4 linked regions of the Arabidopsis thaliana genome follow. The protein of the gene in region 2 binds, or shares a complex with, the protein of the main gene of each other region. Each region holds a gene or a part of one and is shown on either strand. Other genes may lie near its edges.

Evidence for each region.
Region 1: SFR6 (region 2) and MED8 share a complex: the UniProt entries of both Arabidopsis thaliana proteins name them as parts of the mediator complex.
Region 3: SFR6 (region 2) and MED19A share a complex: the UniProt entries of both Arabidopsis thaliana proteins name them as parts of the mediator complex.
Region 4: SFR6 (region 2) and AT5G05140 share a complex: the UniProt entries of both Arabidopsis thaliana proteins name them as parts of the mediator complex.

The regions. Positions count from the first base shown.
Region 1 is NC_003071.7:902,906-911,324, reverse strand, and holds MED8 (mediator subunit 8), read right to left. Parts: upstream 5,813-8,419; 5' UTR 5,501-5,812; intron 5,375-5,500; 5' UTR 5,348-5,374; coding exon 5,169-5,347; intron 5,079-5,168; coding exon 4,954-5,078; intron 4,860-4,953; coding exon 4,735-4,859; intron 4,667-4,734; coding exon 4,483-4,666; intron 4,378-4,482; coding exon 4,294-4,377; intron 4,173-4,293; coding exon 4,117-4,172; intron 4,027-4,116; coding exon 3,757-4,026; intron 3,669-3,756; coding exon 3,612-3,668; intron 3,295-3,611; coding exon 3,088-3,294; intron 3,001-3,087; coding exon 2,950-3,000; intron 2,853-2,949; coding exon 2,789-2,852; intron 2,706-2,788; coding exon 2,533-2,705; 3' UTR 2,053-2,532; downstream 1-2,052. Other genes in the region: AGL30 (AGAMOUS-like 30), read right to left, coding at 7,756-8,224, 8,312-8,419. UniProt on the Arabidopsis thaliana protein: Component of the Mediator complex, a coactivator involved in the regulated transcription of nearly all RNA polymerase II-dependent genes.
Region 2 is NC_003075.7:2,494,915-2,502,252, reverse strand, and holds the start of SFR6 (sensitive to freezing 6), read right to left. Parts: upstream 4,323-7,338; coding exon 3,985-4,322; intron 3,908-3,984; coding exon 3,839-3,907; intron 3,749-3,838; coding exon 3,660-3,748; intron 3,577-3,659; coding exon 3,464-3,576; intron 3,353-3,463; coding exon 3,251-3,352; intron 2,807-3,250; coding exon 2,716-2,806; intron 2,529-2,715; coding exon 1,932-2,528; intron 1,724-1,931; coding exon 1,105-1,723; intron 1,011-1,104; coding exon 931-1,010; intron 608-930; coding exon 525-607; intron 86-524; coding exon 1-85. Other genes in the region: NSF (AAA-type ATPase family protein), read left to right, coding at 6,587-6,762, 7,068-7,163, 7,244-7,325. UniProt on the Arabidopsis thaliana protein: Component of the Mediator complex, a coactivator involved in the regulated transcription of nearly all RNA polymerase II-dependent genes.
Region 3 is NC_003076.8:3,950,974-3,958,796, forward strand, and holds MED19A (mediator of RNA polymerase II transcription subunit 19a-like protein), read right to left. Parts: upstream 5,213-7,823; 5' UTR 4,936-5,212; intron 4,371-4,935; 5' UTR 4,313-4,370; coding exon 4,285-4,312; intron 4,163-4,284; coding exon 3,873-4,162; intron 3,639-3,872; coding exon 3,402-3,638; intron 3,213-3,401; coding exon 3,153-3,212; intron 2,993-3,152; coding exon 2,942-2,992; 3' UTR 2,846-2,941; intron 2,404-2,845; 3' UTR 2,167-2,403; downstream 1-2,166. Other genes in the region: AT5G12220 (las1-like family protein), read left to right, coding at 60-115, 336-510, 775-1,059, 1,176-2,041; CLE22 (CLAVATA3/ESR-RELATED 22), read left to right, coding at 6,767-7,078; AT5G12236 (uncharacterized protein), read left to right, coding at 7,175-7,309. UniProt on the Arabidopsis thaliana protein: Component of the Mediator complex, a coactivator involved in the regulated transcription of nearly all RNA polymerase II-dependent genes.
Region 4 is NC_003076.8:1,516,563-1,524,696, reverse strand, and holds AT5G05140 (Transcription elongation factor (TFIIS) family protein), read right to left. Parts: upstream 4,993-8,134; 5' UTR 4,345-4,992; coding exon 3,883-4,344; intron 3,795-3,882; coding exon 3,726-3,794; intron 3,646-3,725; coding exon 3,563-3,645; intron 3,469-3,562; coding exon 3,416-3,468; intron 3,300-3,415; coding exon 3,150-3,299; intron 3,065-3,149; coding exon 2,772-3,064; intron 2,690-2,771; coding exon 2,608-2,689; intron 2,519-2,607; coding exon 2,400-2,518; 3' UTR 1,560-2,399; downstream 1-1,559. UniProt on the Arabidopsis thaliana protein: Component of the Mediator complex, a coactivator involved in the regulated transcription of nearly all RNA polymerase II-dependent genes.

The sequences.
Region 1 (8,419 bases), on a different chromosome or scaffold from region 2:
TTATAATCAAAATTACTTCCATGTATTTTAATAATCAATCATATGCTAATAAAACAATAACGAGATAATAATTAAATTTTTATATTCTAGTATAAACGATATTAAATTTGACTAACTATGTAAGATCTTATATTCACTTCAGAATATGAGTACTACTTATCATCGATAACTCATCTGTTTTCTTAGCCTTTGAAAAACACTCGATTTAAGTTTATAATAGTTCTTTCAAAATTTCTTATTTTTTTTTACCATATTTATTTTCTCAACTTTTGGTGATAATTTAAGTTCTTGAAAAAATTTTGACCATCAAAAATATGATATCTTCTTAAGATACATTAAACTAGTCATTCATGAAAATTTCTATAAGTGATTATACCTTTAAATTAAGTTATTTATCAATCAATTTATTTCATAAAATAATCAAGTATGATATACTAATACAATTTTAATGCAATATTGTAAAACCAATCAGAATAAAACTATTTTGTGCAAAATCTGGATTTTACATATATCTTGACAAAACTTTTATTTAGGCTAATATGAATTCGTGCAAGATTTGGGTAAAATGATTTCGTGCAAAATTAGGGCAAAACCATGAACAATTTTTTTTGTTTTTTTTTTTTTTTTTTTTTTAGATACCACAAAGATTTAGAGAAAAGAATCTTATAAAAAAAAAAATTATCTTGCAACGTTTTTAGTAAAAATAATAATAACACAATCAAATATATGGAAATCTTATAAAAATTTTTAGATAATAATAACACAAAGATTTAGATATATGGAATCTTATAAAAAGAAAAATTATCTTGCAACATTTTTAGTAAAAATAATAATAACACAATCAAATATATGGAAATCAAATATTTAATATGGAAAAGTCAATATCTAAAAGTGATAAGATATGTATAACGTTTTAATCAAAGGAGTTAAATAAGGGATATCATATCAATCATAAATGGATTTTAGACAATATAATATTTATAAAATGATATTGAATATAGATGCAACTATTCAAAACTGGAATGCTAAAACATTAATACATGTTTGCATCACCTACCACCGGGTTATGAATAGTTACAAAATTAGTTATATAATTATAAAATTGGTAATTTATATATTCATTATTGTAATAATAAATCACAAAAATTAACAATTAATAAGCATGATTATCTTCTTTAACGATTTTCTTTGTAGAATCATTGAATCATGCGATAGTAATTATAGAAACAAATGATAAGCATGATTCTCTTCTTTATTGAATCATTGAAAACATGCTTTTACCGATCTATACTATAATCATCGATCGGCTCATATTGTTTTGTTTCAATAATAGAAAATAAATACTATGAACCATGAGTCGATAAGTAAACATGGTTCTTAAAAAAATGTAAGAATCTCTATATCTACCTTTTAGAGCGTCCTGATAACGTGTTATAAACAGAGAAAGAGATAGAAGAAAATGAGTGTGTTATTCCATTGAGGTAAAGGGTTCTTTATATAGGATTACAAGGAAAGGGTAAAACCTTAGAAACATCTAGATGATGAGTTTAGATGATGGGCGTTATAATGAGCATCCATCTTTATTCATAACAAGTTGAGGTTTGTTTTGGGTTTTTTCCCTATAATAAAGCATTTATTTCATATAATATATAGTAAAATATTTATTTTATATAAAATTAATTTAAAGAAAATTATGCATTGAATATTTATATTAAAGAAAATAATATATCAAATCAAAGCCTTTGAGATGATGAGTTCAATTATATCTTTAAAACTTTTGAATACAAATATATGTTATAGTGAAAACGTTTATAACATATGCAAAATCGCACAAATAAATTATATTGTGTATTATTTTAAATTTTATAAATTTATTTTGCATTTTTTGAATGTGCACAATAAATTGTAAAAATAAGCGATTTTGAGTGATTTTTTCGCAAATTCCTAAAAACCAAAGTAAACTAGTTTTTCATATTTGTAACAAAAGCAAACAAAAAATTTAAAAGAAATGGTAACTAAATTTCAAAATTTGATTGAGGTAACTAAACGAGTCGTTGAGCTAAATAAGTACATAAAAAATGAGTATATAAAATTAAGTTGACAAGAAACAAAACAAATTGTCAGAAAATTTAATAGCTTTCGAGTCGCAGTTTTAAAGCTCTCTGTTTAAAGTTCAGAAAACAGGTAAACTTCATAGACACGTCGCTCTCTCGAGTCCCGTGTACAACAGAAACGCGTCTTCGTTTTGTCTCTATAACCCCATCAACGGCGTCGAGATGTTCACGTCGATGCCACGTGTCGAATTCTCAATAAACATGTCAGAACGAAAACAATCCTCCACCGTCCAATCTCTGCTTCACGTTTTTAACCTCATACAATGATACAAGTAAACAAAGTGTACTAGTGTAGTGTGAAAGTACCATACAACTAGAGAAATCTGGTGAGTGTATTAATGTTAAAGAATGGGCCAGGCCTTTGGTACTACAAAATACAGGCATCGGCCCATTACAAGCCCAAATTATTTAAAAGGGGTTATTGAGGATTTTGGTGCCTTTGTTGAGCATTCTGCATCATGTTATTAGGCTGTAGACTCTGCTGATTCGTCTGCATATTTCCATAGCCTCCTTGTTGTTGCTGCTGCTGCTGCTGTTGCGATTGCTGAATTTGTGTTTGCTGTGTTTGCATCATTCCGCTGGTGTTAAACACTGTAAAGATAGGACAAATGAAATAGTCAGGGAATCGATTTTGATGTAAGAAAACATGTTTTAGAAGAGATTTGTTTACTTACTCTGGTCACCCAACATTTGAGACGAATGGCTTCTTTGGGGATTGGTACCCGAAACTCCAAATTGCTGACAACCATAAAAATCCAAAGAGATCATCAGATTAAGACAATGTTCATCGTTCAGATTTGGGAAACATAATGAGTAGAGGAGTTTTTGAGCTAACCTGCATCCTAGGAACAAGTGTCTGAGATTGCATAGATGACATGTTTGGTATCTAGAATTAAAAGAAAAAGTACGTAGAAAATATGATTAGTAATTGTTTCGAATCATCAATTCAAGAGGTTAAAGAGAGGTGACTGACCATTTGGCTACTTGGGGAGCCTTGTGCAGAAGTAAACAATGCACTATTGGCTCCACCTGAAAACTGGTTTAAGTGACGGTTCATCGCTGGATTGAGCTGTCCTTGAGACATGCTATGCTGAATATGTCCACCTGAGAGCTGTCTAGCTTGGAATTGTTGGTGCGCGCCCATTGGCTGGGAATATGGCATTTGATGTTGCCCATGTGACTGAAAAATAAGATAAAACTCACACTTAAAAGACAAAAGCTTGTTTCATAATTTCATTTGATTCTACTGTTTGAAACTACGAACTGTCACAGTTACTTTTATATAAAAGCTTCTGCCAAGTCCCAAGATCTAGGATAACTTTTCAAGAGTATGAATCATTCACTTGGTATATGTAAACTTGTATAAATACGTCTAGTCATCTTCATTTATGGCCATAACTACTGCATAATGATACAAATAATTGACCAAGGTAGTGTCTGATCCTTTTCACTTCACACATCTATCCCCTAACTATGTTGTAGTTCTATTTATCTTACCGTCTGAAACTTTTGCTGAGCTTGCCCATGCATATCATGAAGTGCTGGTATCTGACTCTACACAAAGAATTAGCATGTTGCTCAATAAAGCAGTATGGTAGGAAAAAACAGTCAATTGCTACGTCTGCAAAATGTCAAAGCCTACTTGACCCAATCCCTGCATAGAAGATTGCCTGAGCTGTTGTTGTTGTTGTGCAAGTAGTTGCTGCTGCTGATGTTGAGGCAACTGCATTAATTTTGACCTTTGCTGCTGCTGTTGAAACTGTTGTTGCTGGATTTGATGCTGAGGCGAAGGCACATTAACCATACCCGTAGCGCGAGGAGAATTGGAATATGGTAAGGGAGATGTTGTGTTATCAAAATTAGGACCAGATGGAGATGCAGCTGATCTTCCCACAAATTGAGTCCCGGAAACCTAAAAACACACAAAGACATGAACCTCGAAAGACAATGATACTAACAAAAGTAATAATCATCACAACTAGAGAGAATAAACTAGTTTAACCTGCATCATTCCTTGATTGTTAATGTTGTTTGATTGCCCAGGTAATGCAATCTTACCTAATGAAAGAGAATTTTTGGAGCCATTAACAACGTGAGAATACCATTGGTAGTAGTAACAAAATAAAGAAGATTCAAGCATTGGGTTTACTTCTACCAGACAGATCAATGAAATCGTTACCTGCATCATTGATAATTAGCACATCTGCCAGATGTGGTGGAAGTGCAGTGGTTATCTGTCTCTGGTCTGGAGGCAGTTGTGTTCCTAGAAACAACCATTGTAAAAGAACATGAGAAGGAATTCAGCAAAACAGAAAACTGCAGTTTCGTACACTATCAAATGACTCAATAAATTCTAAAACCCTCTTACCTTTACCGTCATTTACAGCATCTCGTAGCATTTTCTCCTGCTCCTGAATCTTTGCAGCTTGACCTTTATCCATAGTAGGAAGCATAGACGGGCCTTGACGAGTGCCAAATCCGTAAGCTTTACGAGTATCAGCTAATACTCTTTCTGCATTTTCACAAGCTGCTGCAATCATATCCATCCTCGCCTGTAATAACAGATACCATTTCAAAAACCAGCAAACAAATCACAACAAAAATACATTACAAAACTAACCTTAAGCCTTTCGATTTGCATTGGTATAGGCAAACTCTGAACACCTTGAAGCAACTGCTCTCTCTTGGCATTGTCATCAGTTTCCATCTCCGGTAGTAATTTCGAAGACAACATAACCGGTAAAACTGCAGATTCACTGATAAATGCTAAGCTAAACCAGTTCATCACATTCACAATTCATTTAACTCATCAACTAAAACAACTAAAAAAAGACCATACTTGCAGCGTTCATAGCATTGACGTTCTTAGGAAGCACAACAAACGCATTTGAAACTCTCTTTACTTCTTCCACAATGTTAAAAAGCTCGAGATTTACCATCGAATACTGCCCTAGAATATCCTGCCTGTTCAAAACAAAAAGAAAATCAATCCTTGTTACAAAAAATTCATAAACATCAAAATATTATCAAATTCTGGATTCGATGATGATGAACCATTTAGGAGTAGTGTTGGTTCGACCATAAGCGTCGAAATCTTCAAGGATTCGAGCAATGGCTTTGGCCAAGCTAACGGCTCGTGTCTTCAACGACTCCAGATTCAGTTCCTTCTCCAGTTTTGGATTCAGCTTCTCAGCTACCGGAGGAGGAGGTGGTTGCTGCGGCTGTGTCTCCATTGATAACACAGAGCTAATACACAAACCCTAATTCCAAATTTAACGTAATTAGGGGTTTTTAACATCACAGCGAATTGAACAAATTAATTAGGTTTCCGATTTGAAATTGACACAAAAGTTTCGATTAGAAACACACACAAAAGAGAAACTTACGAATTAGAAAACGAGGAATGCGCAAAATCTCGAAGAAGGCTTTGATTTGGAGAAGTTAGTTATTGGAGAAGACGAGAGAGTGTGTTTGAGAAATAGAACCGGGAAATATAATAACATACCGAATCCATAACATATATATGTGTTTCCTCTTTGAAAACTTACAAGGTTGCAACAAATAGACAGAGCGGATAAATCCGTTTGCAGACTAGACCAATATGTCGCTAAGACGGACAAATCTGTTTGCGGAGTAGACCATTATATTTCTAAGACGGACAATAATCCGTTACGGACCAAGTTTTGTTTTTTTGCTTTCAAATAAACTATTTGTTGGTCCGTAATAGAGTTTTGCGTGATTTGTAGATATAACACTTTTTTACTAAATAATTAACCAACTAACACCATAAATTTGTAAATGTAGTAAATAACCTTCAAGGAGAGTAAAAAGACATCACTGTCCTGGTGTTACGCTTCGTCAGCGAAGAAGGAGAATGATTAGTGTGAGCTGACGTGACTTTATTATTGGTGTTGAGGTGAGAAGAGAAATAGGTGGTAGGAGAGAAATTCTCTTTTCTCTTTCTTTTTTCTTTACTCCTTTTCAATTGTAACTCATATTATCTGATCTTAAAAAATTTAATTCAAGTTCATGATATATCTATTAAAAAGTTGTATAGTTTTCTACAAATATCATGACTTAAATTTTTGAAAATAGACACAAAATAATTTAGATGTGAATAGTGTTGTCAATGAATAACATAACGTTCTATATAAATTGACAATATTTTTTGATGGAAGTATACTAAACCCTAAAGGGATAATATATAGGGAACCCAAGGGTTTAAATCTAAAACATTAATGAAATCACTTAACATCTTTAATCAAAACAAACAATTCATTTTAAAACGTATATAGAACAAGGTATACGTAAATAGTATACTATTTACAAAATAGAATAGTATCTCTCAAAATGCAACAACGGAACTCAATTTCATCACCAATACACCAAGCGCAACAACGGAACCCTATTTCATCATCAAGTGCAACAACGAAAGTCAATTCCCTGAACCTAACTTGTGTTCCTCGCTCTGTAATTCGAAACCCCCAAATCAAATATCACCCTAAAGTAATTAAGAGACTCTAATTTGAAATAAAAAACAAGTAACGAGGTAGGTGTAGGAACTTTATTGGGAGGAGAAAGAGAGAGGGGGAGAAAAAAAGAAAGAGAGAGAAAGAGAGAGAGAGAAAAAGATAGAGGGGAGAGAGAAGGGAAGAGAGAGGTAGACGGAAAGAGATAGAGGGGGTAAACTTGGAATTAATATATAAAATATAGAGGATATCATTGCTTTTTTTTTTATGCTAGTTTCTTAATTATATTTTTTTTTGGTTAGTTTTCCAATTCCCCTAGAGTTTTTATATTTTTTCCTATTTACTAAACTGCGGACCAAAATTATGAATAGTGAATAAAAAACGGTCTTTGTACGCAAGTTAGTCCGTCCCATTGTAAACCCACTCAAGGAAATGGTTCTTACAAAGTAAAACTATTTAAGAAGATATTAGTAACTTGTGTGAAAGATACTGTTGGCTTTGTTGATGGTTCTTGGTGATTCAAAATCCTAGAAGAATCATCCAATGTAGTCTCTCTAACCCATAAACATAAGCTTCCTTAGTTCATCCTACATAACTTGTAAACTTTTGTATAAATCACTTAATAAACAAGAGTACTTTGAAGACAAAAACAAAAACAAAAATGTAGTAAACATTGTTTTGTTTGTTTGTTTTACATTGAAAGAATGAAAAAGAATAGATACAGAGGCTAGAGTTTGTGGGAAGGGAAGGAAGAGAGAGTTTCTCATCTTTTGGCTGTCATGGCGTTACTTTGACAGCCCTCCAAAGACACTACTAACTTTTATCGCCGGAGAAATATGGAAAACCTCAAAAAATCTCATCTGACTGAGAAATTATGTATAGAAAAGAATTAAGTGACATCTATTGAAGATATAGAAAAAATAAATGAACACGTATTGTGTGTGGTTTGGTTGCACAATCTACCAGGGATTACCACTGGTTTTTTTCTTCTTGGAACCAATTCAGAAATCGGCAGAGTTTTAGCTTTCTTGCTGTTTCTGAAAAAAAATATTGGTTTGAGTTTCTTCAGTGAGATGTTTTATCATCATTCATCAAATCTCTCTCAGTTCGGCTGCTGCATCTATAAGAAAGAAGAACAAATTGTCAAATCAGTCTACAAAACAAAAACCCATTTAGAATCTCTGAGAAAGTTTTGTTTTGGTTACCTGGGAAAACAAGTATTCGTCGAACATTGAGATTGAGCAAGGCAAGGAGCTGCTGCTAGAACCAAACCTGGTTTGGTTGGTGTTGTCGTTGTAAGCAGAAGAATCAGGTGGTGGTGCTTCAAAGAATCCATTCATATGATACTCTCTCTGATTCATTGGAATATACACCTGAGCATGCGGAAGAGTAAGAGGAAGAGGAGGAGGAGGCAACGTTTGGTGATGATTCATATCATTGTGAAGATTGGGATTGTATGCTGTGATATTATTATTATTAGTGAACTGCTGCTGCGAGCTTGTGTCCTGTTTCAGCTGTCCGGTGTTTAGTTCATCAAGAAAGCTTGTTTCTTGACCCGGAATTGTCATTTCAGGAGATTTCCCTGTTCCAAAGTAGCCTGGATAGCTCCCGAATGAAGAACTCGCTGAGCACTCGACTTCCCTTTTGAGGATAGACAAAGATTTGGTTTTAAGATATGATTCAATATTAAAAGAAAGAAAAGTTCTCTCGGTGAGAGTTTTCACTAACCTCTGCGGGATTGAATTGTGTTCCTCGGTGACAATGTTGGTGGTGTTGCTATTAAGAATCCATGACATAGATTGAAGCTGTTGTTCTAAAGGAATCTGAATCCCATCT
Region 2 (7,338 bases):
ACCTTGCTTGCATATCTAAAACCATGGCACGAACCTCTTGAGCATTGGTTCCTTCAAGTAACCGACATTTGATCCTATCTAGGTTCTGTAAACCATAAAAATACAAGTTCTTTACCAAAAAGCGCAACCAACCAAAAAGGAAAAAAGCAAAAAAAACACGAAGAATCTCAAGGGGGCAATAGACTGCCAAGATTTTGTTCAGCGTCTTAGAATCAGTCAATCAGATGCATTGTATATTGGCTACTCAAATAATCTAAAGTCAGATGAAGTTTGTTCCTTTTTTCTTTCTTTTTTTAAATTAGAGAAAGCTACACTATCTTATAGTCCGATAAAAGAACAACACAAAATAGGTTCTGCATGCTCATGGAATAGAGAAGCTTTACATTATAAAACCAGAAAAAAAAATATATATATATATATAAATATTTTGCAAAGACATAATAAACGGTACCGCAACGCAAACAGTTCAGACATTTAAAAAGGAAAAAGATAATGAGTTGGATTCGGGTTGAGTAAAAACATACAGGGCCATATTGTTGTCTGTGCTGTGTTGAAGGAAGGGAGTGAAAATCAGCATCCATGACAGCAATCACGCTGTTCAATGAAACTGTAATCATAAAAAGAAATACATCATCCAATGCTTTAAGCAGTATATTATTCAAACAATACAATATAATATTTGAACCACTATCATTCAAAGTTTCTATCATTCAAACCTTAGTATAAAAGCAAAATAGAAAAACAGAGAAAAGGTTCTTTGAATGACACTCAGCCTTTAAAAACTAGAACTTATTCCCAAACTAAAATACAAACTGTCATATTTCTAAGCAAAACTAATTCCAGTGGTTGTTCCACAACTAAAGACCCAAAAAAATCCAACTGCAGATATTAAATAACACTTAAATCAAGAAACTTAGCACTAAAGTATACCTATCCCATCCTCTGCAGCACTCTGTGTGCAGCCAACTGCATCCCACCAATCAACTCCGACCAAAAGACTCCACCAGAATCTGTTAAGAAAGAATGCAGATTCATATCTCAAGTCACAATATAAGTTCCTTTGCAAGCAGACAAGCTAGAAAATATATACCAGAGATTACATACCTCTCAGCGATCGCCCGCTCCCATGTTGATTGATCAACCTTTGATTGGTTACGCGGAAGAGCAGGAGGAAGAACACGGATGATTTTCAACATTGCGCAGTCCTTAGCAGCATCATGCCATACAGAAGCCGAACAACAGCTTGTTGGTGAAAATGCGGGTGCAGCAATTGCAGATCCAACATTTATTTGATAGTTTTCAACAGGTGAAAAAGTTGGACCAGAAAAGATATGAACTCCACCACGAAGAAAAGCAATCGCAATTTCACCACCATGAGCAGAATAGACAATCCGTGCAAGTGTCCGAATATCACTTGGCAAATCAAAAGGATCAAATACAACCTTGTTAGCCTTCTCATCACCAGAATCAGGCTCCTTTGGTGCATCCACACTTGGTCCTGCTGCAGCTACTTGATGATTCTTAAAATCTTTAGTAGGTGGTATGCTCATATCCACTCTGGATACCCAGACAGTTTGCGTGGGGACCTGTCCTCCAAAATTTGAAGTTGGGTTTCCAAATATCTGATGCAGTACAACAGGTTGAACACTTGATTCCCAGCGCTGTACTCTCCAGCCTGTGATTGAAGGACCTTCATCTGGATCATACGGAGACATGTACTGCCCTGCAGACACAAACAATTAGCATTTATTTTAAACAATAGATTGAAGCTGTTGCGCTTCATCACTCAAACAAAATTAGCATTTTCTCATCTGGCAGCTCTTCAATATATGAGCATTTCTAAATGATTGACCAAAAACTAAACGTAAACCTGAAAATGTTTATTCAATCATGGAAACAGTATGAGGTTCCGAGAAGGATGAGAACAGTACCTTCAACTATAACAACTGCTATCACTGAACCACCACGAGTTGGATCAAAAGCAACAGCGGTAACACCAGATCCCCATGTTGTGGTTGCTGCAGACTGAGCTGCAGCCTCTGGACTTACATAAGCAGAAAAATTGGAAACCGGTGAGCAACTTAGCGATATAGCATCACTGGAATCTTGATCTGAGGGCTTCTTCCCTTGCTTTATCTCGGATATTAAGTATTCTTGCCAGCTAAACAAGTACGCAGCTAAAGGAGCAAAACCTGTCCAAGAAGAAGAACTAAGGGATGGTGGCACACGACTGCCTGTAGAGATTTTTGGAGTCGCCTGGAGTCCATTTCCAGGGCCAGGGGTCACCTCCCATACTACAATTGTTGAAGGGTTTACAATTGGAACTCCTGCTACATGCATGGCACCACTGTCTGTTATAATAGCATCAGCAGCCATAATTCCACTTGGCCCTGCACCTAAAAGACCTTTCTTTGTACTAAACCACTTTGGTGCAGTGCTTCCCTGGTTAGAAGGCCACTGGGACCAATGAATTTGAACAGAGCCGGATGAGAAAACAGAGCATACACAGAGAAAGTTGGGCCACCGAGCTGCAACAAATGGTAGAGAATCAGAACCGTCACATAAAGTGGAGGAAAATGCACTAACGTCAGAACATGTTGTATTGATCTTGTCACATATATTTGGATGTCAAAGGAACTGACATAATTAAAATTAAGTGCATAATTCTGAATATATCATCAAAAAATGAGTCACAAGAGGCACGCAGAAGAAAACCTGAGCTTTCAGAGCTCTGCGAGAGAAATTTCTCCTCGAAAGTTGACTTTGCATTTGTACCAGAACTTGGCTTGGAGGACAACCACCTATACTGATTATCAATAAAAAGAAAACATAGAGGATAAATTTCCTAGGATAAAACTAGAGCAGCAAACTAGGTGGCCAGAAACAACATGATATTAAGTCCTTCAGAACATGTTCTTTGCAATGGCATTATTATCTATCTGTTACTCATTTCCTTATGTGTTCATGCCGATCATTAAAGAAATGCATCTAAGAAACGCAAATTGGAAGATCTTTTAGGAGTCTAGTAATTTTGCAAACAGAGAGTTGGGATTTCCAGGACGTTGTGTTTTCTCCATCTCATTTCCTCCAAAACGTAGAGACATTTCCAGTTCAATTACTCACGATTTAGTAATCCCAGTGCCCACTCTCACATGCAAGCCCTCCATTACTAATTTAACGAACTCATTAAGGGACAAATATGCTGTGCATTTGATAGAATGGCAAATAAGCAAAACATAAGATTACATACTGGGGAAGCCCCTGTCAGCCACTTTGTAACAACAGCAATGTCCTGACGCCATTCATGCTCACACTGCCAGGAGGTAGCGTCGTGCACTAAATTAGCCGAACCCTGCAAAACCAATCCACAAAAAAAAAATCATCTGAGGGTGTCATAAAACATCTTGACACAGAAGACAAAGAAGAAATATAAAGGTAAATCCCAGTGATCAGGAGCACAAACCTGAGTAGGCTGCGTCCAGATAGTTATACGTCCATGAAAATTAGCAATGAGTAACGCACGAGGACAAGAAGTGGGAGACCATTCGATAAATTGGACAGAATCACGAGGAGAGTCTACATATAAAAAATTGCATCATAATCGTTTATCACCCACTAGATCAACCGAGTTCATAAATAATTAACTGATATCAAAATACCTGCCACAACATTAAACACCGCACACTCAGTAGGGCGCTCAGGTATCAAGATATGTATTGGTATCCAAAAAGGTGTATTTGCCTTGGAGCTGCAAGAGATGAGAACAGAGAAAGATGAAAATTGAGAAATTCATCACTGCCCATACATTCAAGACATAGAAAAGTAACAAAAACCATACCTTGGAATCCTGGCACAGGTCTCGGAAGCACAAGCAATAGCATTCAATTTGCCACACCACGCAACAGCACTAACACAAAGAAAAGGAGAAAACTTTACAGGAATTGATGAAATTTAAAGATTTTCCGATGGGAGAGAGAGTCAAACCTGAAGTTACGGCACAATTCAGGAACACTCATCTTATGAAGCAAATTGGAATTGGGCTGCTTAAGCTTAACACAGAAAACTGTAGCCGGACTCACAGGATCAATCTCCATGTTACTACTACTACTATTATCGTCTTCTTTCTCTCCGTCTACTGATTTCTCTAACAATTTCTCCTCAACGACGACGAGAATCGGATCGGTAGACTCAATAGTCTCTTCCTGCTTCTGCTGTAATCCTTCTTCCTCTTTCTCCTCCACTATAGCTGGAGCTTCGATGATTCCTCCACCACCGCTATTATTAACCAAAGAAACTTCTTCTTCTGGGTTTTGCTGATTCATGTCAACGAAAGCAAACAAAACCCTAAATTTATAGAAAAATCGGAGAAAAGAGGGCAAGTGTGACAAAAAGTCGCGATTGAAGGCGACAGAAAGCACTGTGCGTTGAGAGAGAGAGAAAGTGTCAAAGTGAGAAACTGTTAAGTGGGGTTAACGAGACGACTTAGTGCGGGGAAAATTCCAAAATCCCCACAAAATCAAAATCGAACAAAAAATGCAATTTTGATTTTAGGGTTTGGTGGAGTCACAGTCTCGTCGCCGGGATGCAGAAAAAAAATCTCGGTGAAAGTGATGCAAAAACGCCGTCGTGTCTGGTCACTTTCTCTCTAAATTTTTTTCCCCTCTTTTTGTAATTTTTTACTTTTTCTTTTAAGAGCAAAAAATGAAGAAGTAAATTTTAAATGATAGTTTTGAATCTTTTGATTAAGGAAAATGATCATAATTTCATTTTTTCTTCTAATTTACCATCTTCAAATTCAAATTTGTAAACATGGAAAGGTACTAACTTAATTTGACATTTGGCATTTGAGGATCCTTGTTTGACATTAGTTTTTTTTTTTTTTTGCTAAATTTGTTAATATCATTACAATGAGAGTTCAGAAAATACAAGAACGTACAACCTATAGAAAAGTAACCAAGGCAAAAAAAATAAAAACAAGGCTACAATAGAATTAGAAAAGATTTAGGTGTGTTTAACGAATCCATAAAAGCATTAGCCGCTGCCAACGCTTGCGATGTCGTCGAGAAGTGATTAGGTTGCGAAGCTCACGATCCACCAATTTGAAGATGATAAGAGGTGCCACGCGAGTAGAGTTGTGCAAAATATTAGGCTTAGGCATTAGTTCATTTGCCTCCTCCCAAATCAAAAGTTAGGCTTAGGCATAAGTGTTTCCCATGGTTGTTGTATCTCCCTCAATGTAGCACGACCAAGAATGAGAATCACTTATTGCTTACACCAAATTCTTTGAGTTACATGCATAGCGTACTGAAAACTAGTTGTTTCGGCTTCTAACTAGATACAAGCAGAGCCATCCATGAGCACAAACGGGTCAAGCTCATGCTTGCGGCTTCAATTAATATAAAGGGAATTTAATGAAAAAAAACCTCAACTTTGGCCAGATCCATTTTTAAACCCTAAACTATGTTTTTAGTAAAACAAACCCTGAACTAAAACCTGTTAATAAACTTAACCCTAAACGTTGTTTAATTACTGTGGGGTTAAGTTTATTAACAGGTTTTAGTTCAGGGTTTGTTTTACTAAAAACATAGTTTAGGGTTTAAAAATGGATCTGGCCAAAGTTGAGGGTTTTTTTCATTAAATTCCCTAATATAAATAAAACTTTTGCCTCATTTTCTTATAACTTTCAGTAGAAAAGTTGGTTATTTGCTTATAAGATTACATTAGAGAGTCAAAAGTTTGAGTTCATCTTCATCTTCATTTGCCTTTTTATTTATTTTTTCATTTTCACTCATTAAACTAGAACCAAAAAAAAATTCCTTCTTTCAATCTATTAAATACTAGGGATGGATATGTCTTTGCACCATACCCTTTTAACCACCTTCTCATATCTAAGAATGCACCAAATTTCAAACTTATTCATTCCATGTTTACAACATTACTTATAAGTTTACTTGAGCTAGTTGTTCAATTTAAAAATCTCCCTATGTGAAGGTTGTTTTGCCTCATCTTCCTTCTCATTGTGTTTATTCCATTCATTAGCATCCATCATCTATCATTGCTCTGTGACAGTCCAAGATCTTTTGAGCTTTTATGTGTTGACCTTCTAGTTTCACATAATTGATCATCGATTGAAGTTTTGAACTATTTGTTGAAAAATAAATAAATGTGGTTAATCCGAACTCAAATTGAATTGTGAGGATGTGTCTCATGCATGACTTGCTCAAAATAATCAGTGAGCAAGTATTCTAAAATTTAGACTGAAAAAAAAAAAAAAAAATAAGAAAAGAACAACAAAAAAAATGAATTATGATTTGTGTTGCAAACCGGATTCTAATACCGAGCCGAGAGGGTATGACCAGATTTAATTTACCGCTTTTTGGTTTAATTCAGACGGCTATTGGTCGAACCGGAATGTTTGGTCTGGTTTCCAAAACATTGATCAGGACTCGAAAAATAAAAGATCTTATTAAAATCAAGGAAGCAATCGTAGTCTTCTGTTTATTGCTTCTCCCTCAAATATTTTCTTATTCGTTAAGGTTACAAAAATCAAAAAGACTCGAAGAAACCTGAGATCGAAACCCCAGCCATGGCGGGTCGTTACGGATCGCAAGTCATGACGATGACTGTGACCAATACTCCGTCCGCAGATCTAGCTTTTACTAACCTCGCTTACTGCTCTTCTTCCGATCTCCGTCAATTCTCCGTTCCCGGTTCCGATCTCTTCCTCGCCAACGTTGCCGATAGCTTCATTCTTTCTCTCTGATATCCTTTCTTATTTCCATTTTACGATTCATTTCTTACATTGCAATGCGAAATGCGATCCTAGGAGTTGATTGTTTATGTGATATGGCTAATTACTGCTAAATTTACCAAAATCGATCTTCGAATTTGAATCTCGGCCTTATGAATGGTTCTTATAATGATTGATTGATCTATGATCGTAGTACAAGTTAGGTTTTTCTGGTTTTCATGGATTATAGAAATCTAGGCTCCTTTGGTCGGTGACAATGTTGAACTTGTTCATTGTGTCATTTATTTCGATTTTTGTGAACTTAACTGGTGATTACTGGACATGGAAGCATCCGTGATGGAAATATTGCTCTCAATGCTATTCAAAGGCGACACGCTAGAGTTTCGACTGGTGATATGGTATCTGTTAGCAGGTGATTATACAGCTTGTTTTTATATTAATTTTCTGGCATGAATACGTTTTTGGTTTCTGAATATTGTCTTGTTCTTGCAGATTTGTTCCTCCTGAAAATTTTGATCTGGCTATGCTGACGCTGGAGTTGGAATTTGTGAAGAAAGGAACTAAAAGCGAGCAGGTTTGTTTGATGT
Region 3 (7,823 bases), on a different chromosome or scaffold from region 2:
ACAGTGACTTTTCGATTCCTGGATGATGCTGATGATTGATTTGATTGTTCTATTTGTAGAGGGTTCTCACCGTGAGCTCCCTGCACTCTCGGTGCTTCGGGATGCTGCAGATGAGGTACACTGTTTTCCTTCTTAATTCTGTTTGGCATTCTAGATTTCCTTATTTCAAGTATCATAGTTCATGAAGGTCTGCTACCCTGTTATTCAAAACGTTTGCTCTTAAGATCTTTTTTGAAGGATCCAAAGAGTCTTTTTAAAAAGATGTTTTATGTGGTGTGTTCTTGGACAATACAGAAGATTTTAACTTGCTTGCATACATTCGTTGGTCGTTGTAGGCTCTTGAATGGTTGAAATCGTATTATTGGGAGCAACAAAAGTATCAAATCCCCTTAAAGAGAGATGGAACAGCTAGCATCAGAAGAGAAGTCAAATCCAAACTCAGGAAACTTGCTTTCTCCTTGCAGCTGAAGCGTAATCCTCAATTTGACTCCCCTTTGGTCAAAGAAAAATGTAATACTTCTTTTGTATCTTGGATCTTGTGCTGGGGAAGGGCTAGTAAGTAGTAACACCAAGCAAAAAAATGGGAATGATCCCATCGGTGTCTTGCTTGTTTACCTCGATGAAGTTTATAATGACATGATACATTGGTTTTGGCTGCACTAGATTATTTTTCCAGCTTTAGAGATGGAAATAATTTTGGGTTGCATTTTCGTGTTTAACTTCGCATATCTGTTAATTCGTAAGGTCATATAAGGTTATTTTTGTGATTTTCAGGTTCTAATAAAAGGATAAGGAAGATTGTAAGCAGCCTTGTTGAGTTATACCCTTCTTTCTCCGCAGAAATTTCATCTGTGCTCCTTGAATTCTTACTCAAGGCCTTGGATTCTTCAAAGTCGACAGATCTTCAGAATAAGGCTGGGCAAGATTTCAGGGTCTTTCTAGATGAATGGAAACCTGTAATAATGGAACTCTCAAATAGAGAACCTGAGTTACTTTTGACTCTACTCAAGGAAGTCCTTGATATGATCCAAAATAATGAACGGAGAAGACATGAAACCGGTAACTATTGGTTTATCCTAAATGCTTTTTCTCTTAAGGATCCTCAGTTGAAACTTTAAATTGTTTTCAGATCGTTTCTAACATGTATGAATTGTATCTAAATTTGCATCTTACAGAAAAGCCAGTGGAAGAGGTTTCTCAAGTTGAGCAGGTCCCTTTCTTGTTTGCATGGCTTGTGAGTCTTCTCAATGGATCAAAGCATTTTCAGAGAAACAGTTCTCTAGAAGTGAAACCTCCAAGCATTTTCCTTATGGAACTTATACGTAGATGTCTTGTCTTGGGAGCCTTAGGATATGAGCTGGTTTTGAAATCAGCATTTCTACTCGCAGAGATTGTGGGAGGCCGTGTCTTAAAGGAGAAGCTCATAAAACTTCCTCTTATGCATAAAAGCTCTGCAATTGTTCCATTGAAACAGAGTTCTACTCTTGTAACAGCTAGTACAACGCTCCTTGAGCAAGAGAAGAATCTCGGTAATGCAGGCAAGAGACTTGAGTTCGTCAAACTTCAACTCTCAAAGAAGAAAGGTATTGACACAGACAAAACCGGTAACAGATGGAGAAAGGCAAAAACATGGAGCCCTTGTCCAATTGGTATGTTGCCTCGGATCATTGGATCTTCTGGACGTTTACCTCTTCTTGACAATCAGAATGCTAAGAGCATCTCAAAACAAGCACAAGGTAACAACAATGCGAAGAGAGGAGCTGAGTGTAATAGAAATCAATTGGAGAAATCGCCATGCAAGCGAGCAAGGAAGAGTGCAGGAGATTCTGAATCAAATGATGTGACATTGGAATCATACGAGGAAGAAGCTGAGATGGAAATAGAACATGCATATGAGGAAACTGAAACTGTAGCAGAAGAGAATCTGATGTGGAATGATGAAGAGGAAAGTAGAAGCTGCCTTATGATAGATGGTGAATGGAAAAGAGTAAATGATGGAGAACTCTCGGGGATGGCTTCTAGTGTTACAATTTGTGTTTGAGATTTCGACAGATGTAATCATATAATCCGACATATTTTTGAGAAAATAGTTCAGATATTTGATCAATTTTTACAGGCATAGTCGCAGACAGATAGACATTGTGACACTCAAGTAAAAGTAAATAAGTGGATTTGACAGTTACTTTTTCAACAACATCAATTGGTAAGTAAATTATTATACATGAATAGTAACGATTTGTGTTGTATTGAGTATATAGACAGAAAAGAGATGGAATAGAACACCCCAAGAAAAATGTTACAAATCTGACACCAAATCAATTATGATACTAAATTCTTCTTCTTCATTTCACAAATTTCCCCTTTCTTCTTCAAGGAATGAATTCACCAGTTTGGGCTTTTAACCTACAAAGCCAATCATTTTGTTCAACACAACTTGAAAATATAAGAAAGTAACAAAAATGTAAGCAATGATTTGTGTTAGCTGAGACTGTTCTATTTAGAAACACATCCTATCTTTGATATGTTCTTTCGACAGGTTACCCGATTTTCATTAGTTATGTATCACGGCAACTTTCTTAAGACCAGAAAAGAATCCAATACCAATACAGAAGTCGCACAGAGACACATACAATGTTCCCTTGCAAATGTTGCGTTATTTGGATTTCAGTAACTTAAAGAATACAACACAAAACTCAAGTATCTGCCTAAAAATATTATGGGTTCAGTTCCCCTAAAGTATAGTATCTGGACTATAACAGATGTATATGTTCTATGAAGGATCCCGGAATACCAAGAACACCGAAAAAATTGTACAAAAGAGACAGGACAGTACACAGATGCTTACCTAATAAGCTGTCTACAGTGAGTTGAAAAGTGCTTCTAAAGTCTCCATGACACCTACTCGAGTGCAGAATACAAAATTGGAATGTCTACAACTTTTTTAGCCAGCAACCCTTATTGCACCCACCTCATCAAGCTTTGAGCTTTTATGCTGCAACAGGTTCAATCAAGAGCTGAATCAATACAATTTATCAAAGACATATTACTAGTTCTCTAGCACCTTTGTGCAAAAAAAACATTATGGTGGAAATTTCATGTTGAGTGTTAATGAAGAACGAGAAAAATTTGAGGCCCCACTTCATTACCATTACCTTGTTTTTTTTGTGCCTCTGAACGTCATTAAGATCTTCATCTCCATCGTGTTTCCTTTTCTGAAATATAAGTGAAAAGGCTCCATAAAAACTCAATAAAATGTTCTAGAGCAGTCTCTAGATCTGCTAATTTCATGCCAAGCAGGTCAAAAAAGCAGCCTAACTCAAGAGCAACAAATACAAAACTTTCCATTAAGCTATTCTTCTTTGGAAAGACAGACACCTTCAACAAACAGACATGTTCTTTACCTTATCATGATGTTTCTTAGAATGATCACCCGAATCATGGTGGCCATTTTTGTCCTTCTTTCTGTCTCGGTCCTTGTCTTTATCTTTATCTTTGCTTCTATCTTTATGTTTGTGCTTGTGCTTCTTATGCTCTCTATCTTTGTCTTTATCCCTGTCCTTGTGTTTCTTATGTTTCCTGTCCCTATCTTTCGACTCACTTTTTGACTTAGACGGAATTGTAGGAGCTCCCTTCTCTGCCTGAAAGAAGAATAGTACCAAGGTCAATCATCTCCATAGGACACCCAGATGTAATTCACATTACTAGGGAAAGATTCTCAATTAACCAAAGAACTTGATGTTACAGGAAATAGGACATTCATTACTGAGCCAGTTTTTAAGTTCAATGTAATGGCAAATACTGTTACTCTTATGAAAAGAAGGACATTTAAAACTCAAAACACCAAGAGAGAGTGAGAAAGATCAGATTCTTACTGGGGGTAATTCAACAGGAGTCATATCATTTAGTTGGAAAGACTCCTGAAGCTCATCTATATCAAAAGGCTGGATGCGAATATTAGTCTCCCGGCTCTGTGATATGCTCTCAATAAGCTGATCTAATTGCATTCCTTCTCCTTTTCTGATCTCTGTGTCCCCAACCACATTATGAAGATAATGGGAATCTGATAAAGAAACAGGAAGAGATTTCTTGCAAAAGAATTCATGGTGTTGCACTAGTTTGAATTGAGATATAAGATCCGCAGCACCGCACAACTCTCTTGGACCTGCACTTGAAACAAACAACACATTGACCTCAAGGTGAGCCAAAGGGGAAAACAAAGGACAACGAGCTACAAAAAAAATAACTTCACGAACTGAAGAAGCTCCAAATTCGAAACCAATGTACCTCCAAATTTTAAACGTTCAGGCTCCATCTTCTCTATCGCACTCTGAATTTCTTTTGCATGATCACTGGCTCACTGCATATATATCCTACACAAGGAAACAAAAATCAGAAAAAGCATAGAGTGATAAGGAAATAATACTACTACAGAAAGCAAATTCAGCTTCGATACTATCTAAACTAACAATTCTGTAGCACAAACAATACAAAAGTTATAACTAAGCACCAGCTCATATTTCATAGTGACCAAAACTAAGAAGTAAGAAAATCTAATTTAGCATTAGATGCTATCAATTCTCAACTTTTCTGCTCCAAGCTCAAAAAAAATGAAACTAGCATCAGAAACAAAACCCTAGAAAGTTTTCGGAAGTTTGTAAAAGTAAAATTAGATACCAAGTCCATACATTTTGGATCTAGTCAACAAGAAAGTTTCATCAATTTGTTCTATTTAGGAATGAAGCTAACAAAAAAAAAATCAGACAAGCGAAGTAATCACTAGAAACGAAGATTAGACTCGATAAAAAAGCTTCAAGCAGAAGAGAAATTCGAAATTGAGGAATTTGGAATTCGAAAACGAAACAAGACAGAGCCCAATAGCAAAACCAAAATCTCAGATTCAATTGGTAGGAGAAAGAATCGAAACAATCAACATACACGTTTCTTTCGACAAGCCCAGATCTCGTTTGAGAAAGCTAGCTAACGAAAGCAGCGAAACGTGAGGGGGGAAGTGTTTGGGTCTTGGGCTTGGGTATCGAATTCCCGCCTAAAATTTTGATTTTAGCAAGTGATCGAGAAAGGACAGAGATCGAAGAAGGTTCGAGAGAGCGAAAAAGCGAGACTAGTTAGGGTTTGAGAGTCTTTTGTGTCTGATGACCAATGAGAGAGGAATTATTCTCTGTTTTCTTCCGTTGGCTTCTCTCTCAATATAATCAACAAATTACAGTCAGCCTTTTTTTATTATTATTCAAGGGCTCCGCGTGGGCTTCACGCGCTCCTTCAACACGGCCCACTTAACCAGACAAATCAAGGATCTTCCATTAGCTAAACCGTATTCGAACCGAGTAATGAATCTCTCTTTAACCGGTGGTACTCTTATCCAAACAAAAATATCCACGACTATTTATATCCGATTTAGATTGTTATCTCTTTCTATATTTTTTATTTACTTGAGTGAAAAACATGAATTGTTATTCTAAAAAACCATTATAAGACCGAAAATTATCAAAACATAAATAATGTAAGTTTTCAGTGTTTTGGGTTGGTCGGACAGGTCTAATCCGATCGAGACATGCCTAACAATATCTTCTACAATTTAAGATGAAACATACGATGAATACATACGTGTATATTTGCTGATATAACATCAGAGACAAAGTGCTTGACGAGAACAAAATGGAATAATGGTATTTTTGGGGATTTGAGTTTGTATACCTGCTCTCTACTATGTAAATGATGATTTGTCTGCTGTAAAATAAATGGGAATATAATATATAAAAACGTGATGACTGATGAGGATATATTGAGGTACATATCACATATGGTGTTTCTTGACAAATATTGGACGTAAGTCTTTGTTTTTTCTTCTATAAACTTTCAGCTTGATTTCTTAAAAACATTTGTTGCACAAGTTGTAAATACGTTTATCGAAGGTAGAAGATGCATATTGGAGAATCATATCCATATATGTATCATGTATGTAATTTAGTTCTTGTGATACTGTTTTCTTTATTCTCTTTCTTAACTCATAATAAAGTAAAATTAAAAAAAAAAAAGTAATCTTAGAAAGACTAAAAAACGAGAAGCAAATATAGATATACAACATTTATATAAAATGGAGAGGAAGAAGATTCAAGTGGTAAGTGGATTTTTTCATGTGTGTGAGTGAGTGTAAATGTGGGTGAAGAAAAAGGGAGTGAAGACAACATCATTTTCCCCAAAGAAAGCTAAGTCTTAGAATCATCACTCCAATTCCCTTTTTGGCCCCTTCTTCTCTCTTTTCTATTTCTTTCTACTTTTGACCCCCTTCACATAATTACCTTCCTCTATATGCTTTATTATCACACCCTCATTACTCTCTAAAACTAACCACTATAAGTATATTATTAACCACACTAATTACTACCACTTGACCTAGTAATCCCAGCTAAGACCTTTGGAAATGATTCAACACACAAAAAAAACTTTCGTTAAAAATTAATGATATATATATTTACAAACCTCTATCTAGTTTCTCTTCTCTTTATTTGTAGAAAGTGGTGGAGAATAAGAAAGGGAGAGCAACAAACTTTTAGAGGAAGTCATAGGTTAAAAGCCCCATAGCTTTTTCTTCCATCACTTTCATTCCTCTCTTCTCATTCTTACAGACTTTGAGAGAGAATTTATTTAAGAGATCTTGATCAGATCTTTTATACTTGCAAAAATCGATTCTAAATATATAATCTATACCTTATAGAGAAACTCTTCATATCTTGAAGATTCCTAAGAGATGGGAAATTACTACTCTAGAAGAAAATCTAGGAAACACATCACTACAGTTGCCTTGATCATCCTTCTTCTTCTTTTGTTTCTGTTTCTTTACGCTAAAGCTTCATCGTCTTCTCCTAATATACATCATCACTCAACTCATGGAAGCTTGAAGAAATCTGGAAATTTGGATCCAAAGCTTCATGATCTTGACTCCAATGCTGCGTCATCAAGAGGATCAAAATATACTAATTATGAAGGTGGTGGTGAAGATGTTTTTGAAGATGGCAAGAGAAGGGTCTTCACAGGTCCTAATCCATTGCACAATAGATAAATTTTTGCTTTTACAAGTTTTTGTGAATTTTTGTCTGAATAAAACTCATTTGTGCAAACACAAAAAACATATTTATTTACTTTTTTTCTTACACTGATGATATACACTATATCGTACGTTATATGCCGTGATTGTAACTTATGTGTTCTATGTGGTGGGATGAGATTGAAGAGTGTTGAACAACGAGTCTTTGAAAATAGTAACTACTGCTTCTCGGTTTTCTTGATTTAATAGTGTATCGATAACACGCATAATTATCTTTTGGAACCCTTGTTTTTGAATATGAAGCTGGTGGAATTCGTGTGGTGTGTGTGAATATCTTGATAATGATAAATGAACATCATTGTTAATGCCAAATGAAAAAAAAAAAAAACAAGAATGAACATCATTGTTAAATTGAAAGAACTATAAAGCTAGTCTATTACAGAGTTGGATGTGAAAGATGTAAGATTATTACAGGCTATTTCATGCTTACGATATTGAATAAAATTGGTTTGAATAGCATTTTATTAGTCTAACAAAAGCTGTAAAAAGAGAATCATTGAGATGGGAAAACCTATTTGACACTAAATCACTTACACTAACAAACCACATTTGTAACAAAAGTAAATTGCAAACATACTTAATGTTAACTTCATCTGGAACAGACGAATAATTTGGTACTCTACTGTATAATCTTATTTACCTCGAATCATTGACTGAGTTTTACTATGAGTATACAATTTACTAGGTGTGGGAAAATGTA
Region 4 (8,134 bases), on a different chromosome or scaffold from region 2:
TGAACAAAACTTTCTTGTTCTATATTTCTTGTGAAGAACTATGTTGATTTTTAATAAACTAGGAATTGATCCCCCTAAGAACCGATTGGAAAAACCTTTATGTATTTATTTATCAAAGTATTTGAGATCAATAAAATACAATTATATGCATTGATATTTTATAATTATATTATTTGTTAATGTATTTTATTTATCTCAAAAAGCTTATATAAAACCATTTTCTGAATTTCAATTCTAATTCGTAATCGTATATAAATAATGATTCTTATCCCATGTAATGATACTTTAATTTACGTTATAAATGATTACTTCAACCTAACGAAACACAATGGTGAATTATTTTTAATCAAAACCTAAGACTATCCAACAATGAACTCAATTCTTTCAAATTTCATTTATTTATGAGAAAGGTTTAAATTGCGCATAATTCTGATAATGTTTCCAGACTTTGTCCAATCGTAAATCAAATAAGACTCAACAATACTCAAATTAAACAAGTTGAGTTATTCGATTATATAGTATAATCAATTTTCAAAACCATGAAAATTTGATGAACGTTCTAAATGATGGATTTTTTTTTGTTTAGAACCGATACTCAACTATTTTCCCTTATTTCATTTGTCAACTCTTATTTCTTTATCTCACCGTTGATTGCGACGCAAGGAATTTTGTAACGATTAGCTGTCTATCTATCTAAAACTCCACATAAATTATAAAATGGTAACCTAAATACTTTGTGTCGGCAGCAGAACTGATGCTATTGTTGTTTTTTTGTCCATGTCAACTTCTCTCCAAAAACATGTCGATTCTCTGCATGGAAAAAAGATGCCTTCTTCTTTAGGGTCAATTAATGAAATAGTCACAATCTCTCGGATCTATATATTAGCATTTTTTCACATGCTTCACTACTTTTCAAGTCTTCCCAATTCCAACGACTGGGAACCAAATATCATTAATTAAATTAAGTGCATATTTTTCTATTTTTATTGAGTCATTAATCCTGCTAGAATGTTTCACATCAAAAATGAAGTGTAATCTAACAAAGTATGTAATGGATATAGGTCAATTTATTCATTGCATATTGATTATAAATGAGATTTTTTATATTCTTAAAATAGTATGAATTAGACATTTTGTAGTGATATTTCCAACAACAAAAAAAGATCTCATAATTTTGTTAAAAAAAAAAAAACTAAAGACATTTCGCTGCATCAATAGTAAGATTTAAGTTCTAGAGCTTTTGGAATTGCAGTTTTTTGTTTAGTTTAAAGTTTTGAGATTATGAGTTAATGTTTTAAATTTTGAAACTTACTAAATGTTAAATGTCATTTCAGTTTTTGTACACAGACAACAATATTTTTTGTATTTTCACATGCTCAACTTTTTTTTTCTCTCACATGCTAAAGTTTACAAAAATAACCAACACATCCATACGAATTTACCATCACGCCAAAAATCATTACGTTTGTTTTTGTCCAAAAGTGTTTGGGTGTACTTATTTAATCAAACTAAAAAGTGCATTTTCCTTTTCACGAAATAAAATCGTGACCATAAAACTAGATTTATCTCTATCCAACTGTTTTTCTTTCAATAGAAATGGAGTGAAAGATTAATAGAAGTTGTAGAAGTCCACGTGGTTCATGTGGTGAAATGCGTGAACGCGTAACGCCGAGATAATAACAACATTGAATAAAAAATACCAACACGCACAAAGACCACACTGCAACAACATTCCTATCCATCCACGTTATCTCCCACCCCCCACTACCTTCTCCTCTTTTCTTATCCACCCACCTTCCTTAAGCCTTTCCAATGCCATCTTATTTTATATACATAAGTAATAAGAAATGACAACATTCGGTCACAATCACATTCATTCATAACAATTGGATATCATTATATAAATATTTATTTATTTGGAAAAAAGTGTCATCATCTCTATATTGTGTCCCAAATCATTTCACATTACTATACAAAGTTAGGTGAAGAGCCGGTCAATTTCGAATGAGCTTTTCTACCCTCTCTTTTACTATTTTTATATGATATATATGTAAAAGGGACCTCTCTCCTTGTCCCAAAACCGAACATAACCCGACTAAACCGGGACTGTACCGAAAGTCTCAAGAATGTAGTAAAGAACACATAAAAGAAACAATAATTGGTATCCCTATCTTGCTGCAATTGGTGAATCCAAGACAGAACAAAACAGAGGAGTAAACAGTTTGTTCAAAGTAAAGTTATGTTGGATTCTGTTCCTTCTCCTCTGCTTGTTTCTGTCTCCAGCTTTGTGGAACTAGACTCTGTTTACCTTTATTGCACCAGAGATTGCGAGATATGTGTGGTAAGTATGGAGTAATATCTTTTGCCGAGAATTATTCACCATTTGAACAAAGCAGAAACTATTTTCTCCCATTAGCCCAATTCCTGTTGCTCATTCCAGGTCTCTTGAGTTGCGGTTTCTGAGCACTACCTTGCTTTGGGATCATCTCAAGTACTTGTATCGTTCGCTGCTTCTTGGCTGTGGCAAGATCACAAACATTTTTAAGTTCTTTTGTTTTCAAGAATGTAACAAAAAACTCGAAACAAAAGAAAGGAAATGAAACGAACCATTCTCGTGATGCTGGTAGCTTTCTTGAAGTTTCCTCTTTGCAAACTCAAACTTTGCGTCTGCATCAAGACCTTTAAGTTTCTGCAAGGGACAAGAGCAAAAACACCATCAATTCTACGTCCAAGAATAGGATATTAGACAAGAGCTTTGTCTCCACACTCACTTCTTGTTGAGGTCCAGGAGCTTTCCGCTTCTGTTCTGTAACAACCGGTTTCCTTTGGATCATGGGTTTTTCAGACTTGTGAACAGATACCGTTTCGTTCTTCATCCTTTGCTCTGTACTTTGCTTTACAGGTCTTCTAGTCCCATCAAAATCAGTAGCTGATGATGGCTTAATAGATCTAAAAGGAGCATCTTGTATCCTCATTTGTGTTCCCTCAGGTTTTCTCTTGGCGATATTTTGTGGCCTTCTTTCATGCTCTCGGCTTGTGTTGTGTTCTTCAGAGTTACGAGGATCTGAAACAAACATCCCCAAGAAAATCAATCAACACGTAGCTAAGAACATGTTCTCAAACAAACAAGACATAGTTTTAAAACTCACTTCCATCAAAGTCCAAGGAATCAAAGAAGTGTGAGATTTCAAATCCGTTTGGTTCAGGTGTAAAGATATCAACATCATATGGAAGCGATGGAAACGCCTCTTCTTCATCAAGGACAGACGGGTTTGCAGACTCTGGTGTACCTTCAGCACCTGTTTTAAACACAAAATTAGAACCAAAGACTATGGATCTAATTCAAGAAACCAAACGGTAAGACACGAAGCCAGTCATAAAAGATCGAAAAGCGAGACAGAGAAAGCGCAATTACCAGTGATTTCCTTTGTGGTATTCACCCATTGATCCACCAACTCCTTCCATTCTCTGCATAAACATATCAAAAACTCAAATGTGAGATTCAAAAGTGCAAAAGCATAGCAAATGTCAATCAAACTTGTGAAAGATCAAAAACTCATACGCGATAAGAGTCTTAGCGAGTTGTCGAATCTTATCAGAAGAATGTTTCCTGAGGCCATTAACAGCCTTTCCAATCTCAGTACTCTGCGAGAATAACCGCAAACCTTAAGAATCTCAAGGATCATCAACAACAACTTCATACACTATCCACCAAGATAACCAACCTTAAGAATATCCACATTCAAAGACATCAACTTAAGATGTCTTAAAGAATCGAGTAACACCGAGTTTGGCTGCAAGAGAATACAAAAAAGAACCAATCAGAAAACACAAAAAAAAAATCTTCACATTGATGAAATTTCAAGAACTTGAGAATCAAACCTCATCTTCTTTGTTGAGCAAGATCTCTTTGATCCTAGCAACCTCCTTAGAAACCACAGAAAACTCTTCAATCTCATCACTCAAAGCCTCAGCTTCATCAAATGTATAATTGCTAACAATCTGATTATTATCCCCTCTGCTACTATTAGCTTTGCTCTCTTTACTACCACCAGCAACCTCATAATCTTCATCAACCGCCGTACCACCACCACCATTTCCGGTGGTTCCACGGTTAGCCTCGTCGTCTCCGGGAACAGACAATTCAAGATGGTCGCATCCGACGCAACGATTCACTCTACAGGAGAATAAAAGCTCGGCGATTTTGTCTCTTCTGGATTTGAATTTGTTAGGACAATCAGTAGCAGCCACCATGATCGCATGATCGATGATCCCGAATATATCGGAATCTCCTCGCCGTCGGAAATATTCTCTCCAGCTATCTAATGAACCCGATGCTTTCATCGTTTCTCGATTCAACAAAATCGGAGTCTAATTAACTCAAGAATTTGATTTTTTCCCCAGAAAATTTGAAGAAGAAGCAAAATAGATTTCCAGAAGAAGAAGATTGGGATCGTTGAAGATTGAAGAATTCGAAAAGAGAAGATCAGAAAATATCGAATCTACGACAGAAGATTTACTTACCAAAAAAAGATCAATCAAACTTAAAGGTTGAGACTTTGAAGATTGTTTTGTTCTCAATCAAAATATGATCAAAAACGAAAAGGATTTGTGATCAAAAGAATCTATAGAGAGAGAGATAAACACAAAATCTGTTTGGTAAGTTTTTATTAATTTATTTTTTTTGGTACCTTTCCGAATCTGACAAGAAAACTTTCCCGGAAAGCCCAGAAAGGATTTTCCCGAGAAAAAAATGCACCGCAGCAAAGATGAGAAAGAAGGAGGAAACCCAAAAAAGCAAAAGAGAGAATACAGACAGAACATGAAACAGTTTTGGTTACGTTGTCTATCTAAAACCCAAGTGCTACTACGTTAAACACAGCTACAAATTCAATTCAACAAGAAACCTTTTTATTAATTCAGAAAGAGAAATAATGAAATTTATTTATTTCCTCTGATTGAAGTCTCTCTGTATATCTGTTTGGTAAAAGAGATTTTATTTTTATTTTAAGTTGGATTTTCTTTACGGCTTTCTTTTGACCTGATCGGTCTGTTTTGGCTTTTCATTATTATTATAAAAACACATTATTCTTTTTTTCCTCACACATGCGTTGTACTTGAACGACGACACAAGTTAAGTGATTACAAGGTCAAACTCTTTTTTTTTTTTTTGGGTCATAAATCTTTTTTACGTTGGAAAATGTCAAAAGTAAATTCTACTAAGAGTGTTTAGTTAGTTATACGGACTTTAATGAGAAGCTCTGAAGAAGAGATATTTATTTCCTAATGCTGCTGATCAAAAGCGTTTATCTTCTAGTCAAAGAGTGATATATTAGAATATTTGGTAAATCCGATTCAAAACAATAGTTTCATGTTTTAACAGTTAACACTATCATTTCATTTTATTTTGTTTTATAAGAAATTGGATTAGGTACTTTAATTTGTTCAGATTTGTAAGACAGAGAAACAAGTATTTCTTTGTTTACAATGTTTTAAAAATATCTAACAAAAAAGTTGTTTTATTTTTTTTGTATCCCTTTGTACTTTGGATTAGGTACAAAATGACTCACAATGTTTTAACCTCGTTACCCTCACAGCTTTTTCATTAATTCATCGACTATTTTTTCATAACCCATACTTGTTAAGGCCATTAGGGCATCTCCATCCATGAAAAACCCACAAAGTTTTTCAAACAAAAAAAATATTAATATTATATTATAATTTGATTATTTGATTAAAAAAATATTTTTGTTAAAAAATTAAACCAATAGTAAGATGATAATTGTCATGATGGGTTGTAGAGACTATCTCAGAGTTTCTCAAGTGAGAAACTTTCTACACTCTCTCTCCTTCATTTTCATTATTTTTATTTTTTTAATTGTGAGAAACTCTTATGAGATACTCCCAATAGAGATGGTCTTAGATATGTAGTTTATTTACAATTTATCAATTGTAAATAAAAGTTACAACTCTTCACTTATACTCATAATGTTCCGGTACAATCCAACCAAACCTTAACTTAGATCATATTTATTTTAGAGAATTTACCAAAAAAAGACATAGCATGATAGCATCATGTCATCAATCATCATACATTGTCTTATTTTTGTTGTTGTTGAAAAAAAAAAAAATCAACTGTTTTTCTTTGTATTTGCATTTTCGTTTATGTTTACATGTTCCAAAATGATACCACAATCATAACTGTTTTAATTCAAAGTAAGAACTTTGTTTTGTGTTTACAAAGTTATAAAATAAGTTGGACTATTAAACTTAGCTTGATTTGTTAGAGCAACAACAGAAAATAGAAGAAGAAAAGGAAGTTTCTGTTTGTGGAATGAGAAGCATGTATTAAATGTTGGTCAACAAAATCGACCCCTAAAAATATTATAATTTGATTTTATGTTAATACGTGACAAAACGAAGTCGTACGATTTGGGACGGTGGTGATTACCAATCAGAATTTACTCACCTTCAAACGCGTGAAAAACACTGGGACTCCTTTGAGTGCTAACCTCACGGGCTTGTCACAGCCACGTTTACGTGACAGACTTTGATTGGCCGACACGTCAGCAGATATAGTGGCTGCTTTACGGTGTTTTAGTGGACCTACTTGAAGAAAATGGTGCGTGTTTTGTATACAAGAGATAAGAAATCCATCTACCACGGACGGTCTCATTACAATTTTTTTATTATCTGAATAACCAATTATAGATATAACACCTAATGTATTTTGCTAGAAGTCGACAAAAAAAAATTAGACTGGAGTTGGAAAGAAAAATTAGAATTTTTTAGGCTCAAATTATTCAATATGCATATATTTATTTGAATCATTGTGTCATACTTGTTCTAGAACTTTAAGCTTATGAATGATGATTAAAGTTTATCTTCAACGAGTAGGCATTATTATTAGCTTCTTCTGCTACTCTAATGATTCTAAGAAAGCGTCGAGAAAGTTAATACAGAAGCAAAGAAAACTATTCGAACTGCGGAAGATAAAGAAAATAGGTGGATAGAAAAATTAACGGTTACTAGTAAGATTAAAAGAAAGGTCAATTACAGAAGATAAATAGGCAAGATTGAGATGATTATGATGAAAAAAAAAGAACCCTGCATATTTGAATTTGCTGTAGCAAAATTGTCTAAAGCTTTGTATTCTTGTAGTGTTTGAAATTTACTCTAATAAATATTTTTCATAGGTTTATGGGGAATTTAGCTAAATGATTATGAAATTTATAAGGAATAAGTCATTTTTCTTGTATTTTCGTTGAGATCTAAAGTGTTTGGAGACTTGTACGAGGTTATTCGAGATTATTTATCAAACAAATTAAGAGATAAAAGTATAAGGACGAGGAATTCAGAAATAAGAGTCAAATAAAAGTTATTTGATAGAAGAAGATGAGACTATATAAAAAAAGTAATTTATTAGTAATTCATACAAAAAATGGTAGGCATACATTTTATAATAAGTAATTACGTATCTCCAATTCAAGATACTCAAACACCGTTTGAGAGTATGGATAACGAGCAAAATGGAGATAACCATCAACCTCGTCTATACCAACCCCTATCAAACAAAAATTATGTAATAATCTTTTCTTTGATTAATATCATTCTTAATATTGTTAAAGATTTCGGATATTCGACTATGTGTACTTGGTTTTTTTCTTTTTGTTGTTGTTAAAAACTATGTGCACTTTGTTCCAAGATATGACCAAGCAAACTCAAATCTCTGTTGTCCACAACAACAACAACATATTATATGTGAGAAATTCGAATCAAATTTTTTGTTTTACCTGTTGAATCAATGCCACCAATATAAGAAAATATAATCCAAAATGCCATACCGGATTCAACATTATGAAACTGTTCTGTGTTCTGACCGATATAATTACTCTACTTTTATGACCTTTATTGATATTGCCACAGCTAGCGCAAAGCTGAGATGAGAAATATTTTAATCAAAATGTCGTGACTAAAGCAGAAAATTTAGAAGCAAATTTTAATTAGCGACGATTTCGTAAATTGCATGGCATAATTTAGTTTGGATTTATACGGTTTTCTTGTGTGTTGTATCGTTGACTATTATTACATTCATAATTTATTTATACGCTTTTTCTGACTTTTAACGATATCG